Neodiprion lecontei: one gene and its partners. The protein of the gene in region 1 binds, or shares a complex with, the protein of each later gene. Links are inferred from orthologs where the notes say so. Each region holds a gene or a part of one and is shown on either strand. Other genes may lie near its edges. The genes, in order: trafficking protein particle complex subunit 8, trafficking protein particle complex subunit 11 and protein brunelleschi.

Evidence for each region.
Region 2: trafficking protein particle complex subunit 8 (region 1) and trafficking protein particle complex subunit 11 share a complex: the UniProt entries of both Homo sapiens proteins name them as parts of the multisubunit TRAPP (transport protein particle) complex. The link is inferred for Neodiprion lecontei from reciprocal best matches to the Homo sapiens genes TRAPPC8 and TRAPPC11.
Region 3: trafficking protein particle complex subunit 8 (region 1) and protein brunelleschi share a complex: the UniProt entries of both Homo sapiens proteins name them as parts of the multisubunit TRAPP (transport protein particle) complex. The link is inferred for Neodiprion lecontei from reciprocal best matches to the Homo sapiens genes TRAPPC8 and TRAPPC9.

What each region holds. Positions count from the first base shown.
Region 1 is NC_060260.1:32,023,584-32,027,340, forward strand, and holds the start of trafficking protein particle complex subunit 8, read right to left. Parts: upstream 2,721-3,757; 5' UTR 2,539-2,720; coding exon 2,382-2,538; intron 1,888-2,381; coding exon 1,446-1,887; intron 1,341-1,445; coding exon 1,095-1,340; intron 626-1,094; coding exon 119-625; intron 3-118; coding exon 1-2. UniProt on the Homo sapiens protein: Plays a role in endoplasmic reticulum to Golgi apparatus trafficking at a very early stage. Maintains together with TBC1D14 the cycling pool of ATG9 required for initiation of autophagy. Involved in collagen secretion.
Region 2 is NC_060264.1:3,294,788-3,298,544, forward strand, and holds the start of trafficking protein particle complex subunit 11, read right to left. Parts: upstream 2,764-3,757; 5' UTR 2,381-2,763; intron 2,238-2,380; 5' UTR 2,187-2,237; coding exon 1,995-2,186; intron 1,878-1,994; coding exon 1,708-1,877; intron 1,633-1,707; coding exon 1,444-1,632; intron 1,357-1,443; coding exon 1,183-1,356; intron 1,012-1,182; coding exon 844-1,011; intron 712-843; coding exon 507-711; intron 433-506; coding exon 259-432; intron 164-258; coding exon 85-163; intron 10-84; coding exon 1-9. UniProt on the Homo sapiens protein: Involved in endoplasmic reticulum to Golgi apparatus trafficking at a very early stage.
Region 3 is NC_060260.1:38,739,137-38,742,893, forward strand, and holds the start of protein brunelleschi, read left to right. Parts: upstream 1-1,079; 5' UTR 1,080-1,385; intron 1,386-1,696; 5' UTR 1,697-1,735; coding exon 1,736-2,673; intron 2,674-2,751; coding exon 2,752-3,025; intron 3,026-3,100; coding exon 3,101-3,299; intron 3,300-3,390; coding exon 3,391-3,602; intron 3,603-3,723; coding exon 3,724-3,757. Other genes in the region: 39S ribosomal protein L54, mitochondrial, read right to left, coding at 161-465, 789-891. UniProt on the Homo sapiens protein: Functions as an activator of NF-kappa-B through increased phosphorylation of the IKK complex. May function in neuronal cells differentiation. May play a role in vesicular transport from endoplasmic reticulum to Golgi.

The DNA of each region.
Region 1 (3,757 bases):
AGCTAAAAATATATAACAATATTAAACAGTAAATACAATTGAACTACATCGTTAGAAATAGTAAGACCATAAGTCATAGGGTTGACATTGAATATGTCTTCACATCGTACGTACTTACATCACTGCATTTGCTGGGGCAGATCCAGGTGCTCCAGGCTTGTTAGTAACAAACCAACGTTTTGTAGCACTAAATAAGGATCTACTAACACCTTTCTTATTGGAAATAACATCATTGAGCAGTCCAATTTGTTTTTCAACATATGGTAGTAAACTTTTCAAACAAAATTCTGTAATCAATGTTCGTAACCTCTCCAAATCCTGAGAGGACAATCTTATACCATGTTGAATGGTTGGCTGACTAGGTGAATCTGCCCAAACGTTATCGTTAATTGGAGTATTATTTTCCATTTGATTTTTCAGGGTTACTGACGGTATAAAATTGCATGAGGATTTCTCATTCTCTGGACTCAATGGATGAGTTGTAACGGGAACTGCTTCCTGTCCAACTTCAAGTGAACCAATTGATGATTCCGCTGCATCCGATGAAAGGCTTATTGTATCACATACATCTGGAGAACCCAACATTGGATTACGTGGCGCTATTGGGGTACCAGCCAGACTTGTTCTAAAAATCAATAGCAATTGTAAACAATAATAAAATAGCTATTGAACTTAGTCAATGAGAAAAATTATAAAATACAGTAGGCGCAAAAAAGAAAGACAATCTGTTCAGGGAAAGGAGAAGCTGTTGCAGATTTTATCCCGCTACTGGCATCAGTAAAATTTCGGATACATAGTTGTTATAATAGTACTGAAAAAGGACACAGTTGGGTTTATACATAAATTTAACAGTACTGATAAGGTATGTGACATTAAACTTTTGAAGATATTATTTTCTTGGAATGTTTATAGTGAGGGATAAGTTGATAGTCGATACTAAGCAAGAAAAAATGGTTTCATCTTGCTGTTGAGTGATTTGTTTACAGCAGAGCATGAAGCACCAGTCTTTGCAGTGACTAAAACCATAGTAACGCTACAATTTGTTTTTGTTGGATTTGTGGTAATGAAACCAGTAAAATAGCCAAGATATTCACCTGTCTGGTTCAGTCGTAACCTGACTAGGCATTGCAGATACTCCACTAGTATCTGCTGGTGTTCTGGGAGAGCTACTTTGTTCACTGCTTTCTGTTAAGTCTGAATGTTTACTTAAAAATTGACACCAAGGATCTGGTAAATGTGTAGTGTCGTCCAATGGACCTGGTGGTCTCGAGTTCATTTGTAATAAGAAACAATTGTTGGATCCATAAATATTCTTCATATCTGTGTACACTGTTTCTGCCCTAAAAGAAAGATTATTTCAAAGGTGAGGTTTTTTGGTTCCATGCAAATATTACATAGGAATGAAGTGATTTTTAAACAAAAGTGTATCCAATGACGCTGCTCACTTATTTTTATCATCTTGAAAAGTATCATGAATCAATATATAATATCTCAAGGCATTATTGTTGAACCATTTTGGCAGTTTTCCAGGTATACTTTGATTCAGCTGGGCACCCATATGCTGAATCTTTTCTAATGGATTATCATCCCCGGTTGAAACAATGATCATGCATGCCAGAAAATGTTTAGTAAATTCATGATCGGATGGAAACTGTACAGCCAAAAGCATCTCTCTCCATGACTCAAACCATGGGACGGACATGGGAATCTCTAAGTTCGTTGTCCCAATTTGCACAATAGTTGTTCGTTCACATGGTGAAGAGCTAACGGACTCATTAAGCATTTTTCGAGCTAAAGTAGGCTGTGGTGGACGTACGTTTACATCTTGGACTGATAAACGAAGGTTGCGAACTGTGACAGCCGCCCCTTGTGGATCTTTGATGTGCCCTATAAATTGTTAATATTGACAATAATGAATGAACAATGTAGTTGAAAATTTTATAAAGATAATGCTGCTGTAATGTGAGATATCAATTTCCATAGAATATGAAAATAACAATCTGGAATTAAGCTAATTTGCAAAAAATAATACTAATACAGTGTAGGCAAAAAAACATGAAACTTATTTGGAATCCTGTTCACACAAAATTAGGGGCAAAAAGAAACATGGTATGAGAAACATACATGATACAGATGATTATGTGAATTTAAACAAACATGTAGATCACTCGATTTTGCGAACTATTTTGTTTATTTGACATAACATCTGAGTTACCTAAATAATCTCTCAGTTGCATTCATTGAACAAGTACAGGATTCTGTGCTCAGTGGAAAGCTGTGTGAACCGCCTAGGGTTCAAGTTACACGAGAACTGATAAGGTAGTGAAATACGTTGAACTCTTAAAACTACAGTTAATATGAAATGCAAATGAAAATTTTACCTTCAGCATTGAGTTTACAAAACGGTTGTAGCAGTTCTATAAATGTCAAATTATTTTTTTGACAAGTATTTTCTGCAGCAGTTGAGCAAACGGCAGCAATCTGAGGTGAAAAACAGTTACTGATAAACTCTTGTGGGGTTAACTTGCACTGGGCCATGATTATTCCTTTTATAAATATGAAATTATTCCAATTTATGAATTCACATAGAGGTTTGGAATTCTATTTTTGCATTTTGGATGTGCAATCACTCATCTTCTCTAATTAATTGACTTAATTCTAGGTAAATTACAACTTTTGACAGTATGTAGCCATCGTCATATCTGTAGGGGCGACCATGATGAACATGTCCACGGACAGCTGTTTATTCTTGGTTTATTCCCTAAAAATTCGTTATCCAATGTTGGCATCTGCGACGCATATTTCATGCTGATGCGTATTCAAATGGTGGCGTTCGAAACGCCGCCGAGTTCAGACCGTCGGCCATCTTGCATGCTGTTAGCAGTTCGCAGTAGTTTCTGGAACGCCGACGAATCTGGACATGTTCGTTCGGGATACGCGCTCGTTGATTTTCTAATTGCTAATATACTTTATTATTTCCGAACCTCACTTTGTTCACGCTGGTACAGTGAAGCAAACTTTCAAGAACGTGATAACCGATTGTCTTGTGATAATAAATCGAAAGTTGCTTTTCACTTAGTAATTGTAACTCGCGAACGGATAGAATTAATGTCAGAAAGTATAACTATCGATGAGGTTTTTTAAAAATTCGTGATATTACAAATCGTGCAAATAATAATATTGAAAACTTGACAACAGGTCTCCTACAGTGAGTGTAAACTAACCTACTATGTGACAATTATAATATAAAAGTTCTCTCGAATTCAGAGTTTTGTATACTTATGTTACTGACGTGTTTCTTTGTTCCTCGCCAGAAATTTAATTTTAACGTATCTCTTCAATGATGCAGAATTTTTTACGCATTGCATTGCGGCTTGGTGAATTTTCTGCGTGATTCTGTGGTGCCTAAAATAGTTTTGTGGTGCATTCATGATCAGTGATACAGTGTACACGGTGCATAGGTAGTGAAGTGAAGATCGAAAATTAGCTGTGAAGATCAGCTTTGAATCTTCAGAAACAACCTAAAGTACAACGGGACAACCTGTAGCCTGCAGACGTTACGTGTTTGGTAAGCTTTGCATCTTTTGTTCCGATGTTTTGCTATCTAGTATCTGGTTAGAAACATGCGTTGACAAAATTCTTAAATCTCCGTTGAAATGCAATACTCGCAATTGAAATACAATTTCTACCAGGGTTCTTCTGTGTCAATCTTCTATAAGATTTTTACGAATTCATATATTTTGTTCACATATTCATA
Region 2 (3,757 bases), on another chromosome or scaffold:
TTTGTACAACTGAAATATTAATTCTTTAGAAGCCAGTGATATTCAAATTAATACATTTGCATAAAGTTATGGTAGTATTCAAACCTAAATGACGACGCATTCTTGGACATCGATAAGTTTTGAATTGGGAAATTGCATGTCCTAAAAGACCGATGATTATCATCTGAAAATAAATTATAAACAACTATTTCTGCTACCAATTTATCACACGCATCACAATATTATCTCTCAGCATTCCTGAGAAATTAATTGACTTACAGAATGGTTGACAGTAGTCTTCTCTTTGTGTTGTAAAGCTTGAATAGCCGCTGCTTCCCGTGCCATGTCTGCAGGCTCAGCACTCAATTTCCCTGGACGCCATGGTCTCTGACCGTAATATTCAAGTTTGTCTTGGCCTGCCAAAGGATCAGGTTCGGGATACTCATTAACATCCTGAATCATAATCAAATACAGGTTTAGATTCATTATAGATGAAATAATATAAACCAAGTCAAATATCTGCTCACTTTGCAAAGATCTCTGCACGCTGTTTGCCGCAAAGTAGCATGCTGAGCTGCCAGCTGAAAGTAGTATCCTGGATGCTGAGTTTGAACAGCAGGAAGACCTTGCCTGATGGCTTCATCAAATAATTCCGCAAACGTGGAGAACTGTCCTGACATCCACGCGTGATGTTCAAACATTAGTTCTTTGGGACCAACTTTCAATTTAAAACTGTAATGGTATATGGAATTTGAGTTATGATATTCCCTTTGAATGCAATCAATTTTCTGGTACTGAGGCCTACTAGTAATTGGTGAAAGATAATCGTACATGTAAAATTTTATATTGTAAAGATATACATACCGATCTGTGTGAGCTCTAAACTGCGAAATAGCATCACGGGGAAGATTTAAGTTGAACATTAGACGACATAGTTTGTAATTTATGAAGCTTGCAACAGTCTTTATTTCCAAAGCATTTGTGTCCACCATTCGTATATCAAGCAAGTTATTGTACGCCAACTGATAATGCCTGTGAAATAAACACTTGCATGATTAGAAGGGATTGGTTCGCGAATTGAGTTATTGAATACAAAAGTGTTAGCTATGATTCGAAGTTCTCAACAAGCTTGTTTTTTTTTTTTTACTAGTGTTGATTAGGTGTCCAGATTGAAATATCACATGAAAAATAATGACAACTTGCTTGTGAGCCATGTGCTGATCCTGTTTCAATTCATTTAGAAAGCCCATCTTAAACTGATGCCGGACAAACAAATATTGATGTGTAGTCTTGTTCAGGTGATCTCTGTGATTTTTCACGATGCGGGCTTCCAGGTGATAGAAGTTTTGGGCCAAATCATAGAAGGCATTTTCCAACCTACATGTACAGATTGTCATTAGTCCTATTCAAACTTGCTGAGCACACAACCAACAAGTATTACACTTTATTATTTCAAGCAACTACCTTAGAGTATAACCCAACAAGTGATCGCCATGAGGTAAGACATATAACGATTTAGCTGGCAATTCACATGCAGCACACAAAGCTGTAGCACGCTCAGTTGTTGCAGCATCTTCAGCGCCTGGTTGTGGCGGTGCTCCATGCTGTATTAGAACTACAGCAATCTTCGTACTTCTACCCTCGATAGCAGCTCTATAATTGTTTGAAGATTTGTTATACTTAGATATATTTTGATTTGTAACCAAATAAATAATCTGATACATGTACCTCAAGGATTGAACTCTCGATGCACATTCGATCTTTTTTTCATTCCACATAGAATCATTCCAATCCAAGTCATAAAATATAACAACGACGGATGGTATGTCATTTAGATATTTATTCATCCAATTTCGTTTTAATATCCCTTTGGGTATGTACCATTCGTAGGAGTTACGCTACAGCAGACATCGAAAGTTATTCGTCATGCCATTCAATTTAAGGGGACAAATTCTTAGTGAAATAACTTGAATATTCGAGTTGTTGTATCGAAGAGTGATCTAATGTCAACAGACCTTTGGTTTAACTGTTGGAAACTCATGGGCATTGCTTAATATTTTAAACTGAACAGCTGCACTGTCTGGCCGGCGATTGTTGCTGAATGCATCCCAAATCAATCGGTGAATCGCATTGTTTACTGTATCCAATCCGGTAACACCGATCAAAGCCAAGGGCTTTGCTGTCAATTCTGCAGGTAGTTCTGACATGGATCAATGGACAAGAACCAGGAATAACAGAACAGAAGTCCCAAGTAGAATCTGTTGTAAAATTAAAAGGGTCACATATCTCAATTTGAAAGCTGTGATAAGTTATTGAGTTCAAACGTTATCAAATCTATTTAGTTTGACATTTCAATTGAGGTTAGGCTAAATAGGCACACTTAACAAAATGTGTTTTAAACCTATTTGAGAATGGTTTGCGCGTAAACTGGGCTCAGCGCTCATGCAGGATTTGGCGATTTCTTCTTTTTCTTAAGTCTTTTAGTTGGCTGTCGGGTCCCTACAGAGACCCCTGTACCACTAGTTTTGATGATTTTTTTGAGTGACAGAAAACTCAAATGATGACAGCTACGGTGTCAGGGCGGAGTAAAGATGCGAAATACGTGGGTAACAGATCGCGTGCTACCGCGCAAGCGTTGGCGAAACGTCTGCTATAGTAAGAACGAATCTGTTATCCACGATGAATTGATTGTGTCAACTCCCAAGCCGATCAAGTCTCACACAAAAAATGAGAAATATGATTCCGAATAATTTTAAAATACACTTTCCTGACGGTCATCACAATTTGCGGAGGTTCTGGGAATAATTAAGGTTGACAGCCTCAACGGAAGAAATTGCGACGCCCCGTTGCAGGCAACCCCGACTACAACCTTGTCAATTTGTAGTATTTACATCAAAACGGCGTTTCATCTACAGATAGGACGTATTTTGACATGTGTGCTGGCATGTGGGATATTTCGGAATGATCCGAAATGAAAAAATCGGATATAGATATACATTGGATCAGTGTCGCGGTTAATACAGAGATCAGTGGTGTGGAGATCAGATTTTTTAATCTGGGAACGTTGGCGTGTGTAGATTTCAAACTTCCTACATCATATTTTGAAATCTGAGTGTCTTTAAAGGTATCGGAAACTCCTAAATAGTAAATTCTTTCCAATATTTTGTTACGATAAAACGTCAACAACAGAGACCACGTCGTTTCGAAATACGTTCATTATTATTTTCAACGCTCTTCCAAGAATAGATTTCGGAAAACGGTGCTGGAAAATGAGTCCCAAGTCGCTGCGTTAATTTCTGAAACCTTAAAGTCAAATAATTCAAATAATTAGCATTTAACCGTACGTTATTTCAGTTGAGTTTCTTGGTCCAATTTGTAAAAACGGGTCGCAAATTGGCAATTTCGAAAAACACGCGACTAAATTTTTCGAGACGCCATGTACACGTAGCTTTGCTAGAAAAAACGTTTGCGCACAGTCTCAACCCATTGCGATCAACGAATCGAAAACTACAACCGAAAACAGAAAAATTGCTTCGTATTTCTTTAGGTGTTGGTCCATTTACGTTTGGAACACTTTTTCTTGAATTCTTCTGGGCCAAATTAATTCAGAAAAGGTAATTGAAATTGATTTTGGGTATTAGTCGATTTCGAAAATGGCTAAGATAAATTTACTCCTTATACCAACGTTTCTTCAATTCAAAAAATTGTTCATTGGCATTATCTGTTTCCAAAAAAGGAATCTGATAGAAATCTACTTTTGTTGCAATCCTTGCTATTG
Region 3 (3,757 bases), about 6.7 Mb from region 1:
CTTGAAAATCGTAAAGTGGGGAGTGAGTGTTTACAAGTTTCAAGTCAGTTATGAATCTTTATTTTGACTATTACTGTACACGAACATTCACAGAGCTTAATGTAGTATCTATTTTTACATTGTATAAGAAATCGGTATAATCTAAACTACGAAGGTAGCATTAGAAGGGTTTCAACTTGGCCATCAAATTGGTCCTCCTCATGGCTGCTTTCTTCACCCGCCTCCAGTATTTTTTCGTATCTGGATCCAGCTCTTCCAGTTTAAGAGGTGGGCCTATGTGTATGTCCCAAAGCCAGTCGGGATATTCAGAATCTGGCTTAATCTCAATGTCCTGTCCTTCTTTCATTATATTACTTCCGCACACGAATTTTACCAATTTTTCAGGATCTGTTTCAACTGGAAGTACCTTCCTCTCCAACGGCTGACTTAGTTTCAGCTTTTTTTTCCCCTTTCCGAACATACCACCTGAAACAGGAAATGAAGATAGGACAAAGATGGCACTTACTTTAACTGCTTGCGCAATTAATTGACATCAAAGAAGCAGAGCTATGGTTTTCCATTATCAAGTAGATATATCGAAGTATAACAGTCGAAAGGTAGGAGAAAAGTATTCGACGTTTAAAATACGCGCTCTTGTGGGACAAACACGTGATATATTTTCACCTGTCGGTTGGCAACACGAAATGCCGTTCGTATGTAACTCATAACTTAGTCTAACCTAATCTAAACAATTCCGGAGGAACTATTTTCAATGAAAGATGTGAGAGTTGATATGCATTAATACGTACCGGCATCTGCCTTCGCGTAGCCTTTAATCTGCACGACATATTGTGACGGAACTATAATATTTTTGCCTAAACGAAGCAAACAAAGTGACGAGGAGAGACTCATGATAACACAATCGTGTCCCTCACGCGACCCTCGTGGGAGATAACCAAACTATTTGACCAATTGGACACAACCGTAGAGTACGTATTTGACACTAGAGAGTATGTGCAACAATCACTTCGTTATAGAATCCGGATTTGTGAAAATAAGATTATGTACATATATGACACAAGTCTGCCTTGACAGTTTGACTATTCCATCTGGTTCATCGACATAAATTTATTTCTCATTACTATATTTATGTGGAAATGAAAATCTGGACAGAACAACATCCTTTTGTCCGATTATACAAAATCCATTGATCACGTAAACATTGTAGAACGCTAATAAACTCTGAATTCACACCGGCTATTGACTAATATCACCCAACCTGACCTAACCTAGCTTTTATTTGTCAGCTGAGTTGAAAGCTGTCAAACGGCAATTCCCGATCCATAAATTAAGGCTCTGATCAATTGAATTTCGTTGCACGTCGTTGTACAATGATCACCGCTAAGGTAGGTAGAAACTCGGAAGTTAAAACTTCTCGCAATAAATTAGCAGCGCGGAATAATTATGAATTGACTAATTTTGACTCGTCGAATTTATGTCAATCTTGTAGATGTTCCATTCGCGTTTTCACGAGTATGAATGAAATACACTGAGTGAAAAAGAAAAGAAACACAACAAGAGTAACTTCTCTGTAATCCGTATAAGGTTATCCAAAATGTGCATGTGTACCTAGCAAAACCAAAGAAATATGATATTTGAAGATTGATGTAAGTCTTGAACATTCATGTAATAAACCATCCACTTTCTGTGTCTTCAGGTCACATTTGGTTGTTGCTTGATGGTAGCGTTGGTATAAATGCGGTCTGCAGTCAGTGTAATTCTGTCGAGTTCGGTGCCTGACAACAAGATGTCTCAGCCCGACTATGAGCAGACAGCTCACGACCACGCAGCACTGTTGTTGCTATTGAAGCCAATTGGCACTCAAACGAAGCAGAAGACAGTAACAAAAATAGGAGAGAGAATTATAAAGAGTGGAAGTAGATTTACAGTGCTTGATTCTACCGGTATAACGCGTGAAATTCTTGCCAGATTTGTAAGGGAACATCCAGTTGAAAATAACGATTGGAGTGAATTTCAAACGCACAGAAGACTCCTAGGCCTGATTACTATAGGAAAATATGACAGCCAGACAGAGCTCGATGAGCTCTGTAGACTGCATGAAACTTTGAAAGTGAAATATAGCGCGACCCTCTACGATTCCAGAGCAATTCTTTTTGGACCAGTTGAATCTGAGAATTTAAATGAACCACCGAAACCATTTACGACTCCTTCAAATTTTAAGACAAGGGCGCTGTTCTACGCAGATGAAACTTGCCCAGACCTTGAAGCTCAAATTGCTGAATGTCTAAACTCTCTCTTTTGGATCCTAGAATCTAAAAGACTTGAACGATCCAGGGAAAAAGTTGACCGTGTTCCTTTGCTACTTGCACCGTTTGAAAAGAAGGATTTCATTGGTTTGGACCTTGACTCGGGTACCATGAGAAAGAGGTGCGTCGGACGAATGACCAAACACTTGGGAGATCTTTGCCTCCAGGCCGGCTTACCTGCCGATGCTTTATACCATTACAATTCTGCTGCTAATACTCTGCAAGCTGTTAAGGATTGGCTCTGGCTCGGCGCTGCATTTGAGGGGTTGTGTGCTGCTTCTGTTCTAGTCTTATATCCAAATATGTGTCGGAGTCTTCCCTTACAGAGAAATTCGTCCTTGCAGGAAGGTAGTCCAGGGAAACAAAGGTAAATATAAGTTTTAAAAGTTGTTGAATTGAAAAGTAAGTCTGCAAGGTAATCAAGAATTCCCATTTTCATCTGCAGAAGGGAGTCTCAGGCCTTGAATACTTTGCCACCTTCTCCTAATATAGAGGCGATCAAGGCTGAGATGCCGCAAATTTTACCGCCTGAAGAAATTGCAAAAAAATATCGAGAAGCCATAGTTCACTACAGCAAACACAAAAACGCAGGGGTAATTGAGACGGAAGCAAGTTTCAAGGCGACAAGAATTTCTATAGAACAAAACTGCACTTTGCAGGCAGCTTCTTTTCTCAATAATGTTGTATTCATCAATTTGAACATTAGCGAGCATGAAAAAGTAAGCAAATTCAGTTTTCCACTCATTGCATGTTTTTGAGATAATGCTGAATACGTTGGAAATATTCTGTTCCAGATTGAACGTTTCACTACACTGTCAGAACTGTTCACTGCCTTTGGCTTCACGCGCAAAGCCTCTTTCTGTTTACGTCTAGCTGCTACGAGGCATGTTTCTCAAAATAATCCAAATCCTGATTGGCAGCAGTGTTATAATCTAATGTTGCAAGCGGCACCTGGGCTGAAGCTTAGTCTTGATCCAGTGGAAATGCCTTCTGGTGAGGTTGCGAACAACTTTTCACTAAATTGAACCACCAACAACTGGAAGTATAAACGTCTCACTATTAACTAATTCTCCGGTTTTTCAAGATGGCTTGCGGGGTTGGCCTACTTTACAAATTCAGCTCATACAAGAGCTGGTCGTTGCCGCTAAGCGAATGGGTAATCCAGCCCTCGCCACTCGGCACATGACATTCTTGCTCCAGACTATGTATGATCATATGAGCCCTACAGAACGCAAGGAATCAGCTTTACAACTTCAAGCTGTGTCGCAGCAATGTGAAGGTGCACCAGTGCCCCTTGTATGTTGTTCTTTTTCATGTACTGCCAAGTATGGTTAAGTTATAAAACAATTAGTGTTCATTATAAAAGTGATTGCATTGTTACTTACTACGATATGTCACATGTATTTTTCCTGTGCAGGTGTTAGATTCAGGGATGGTCATACCGCCAGCTA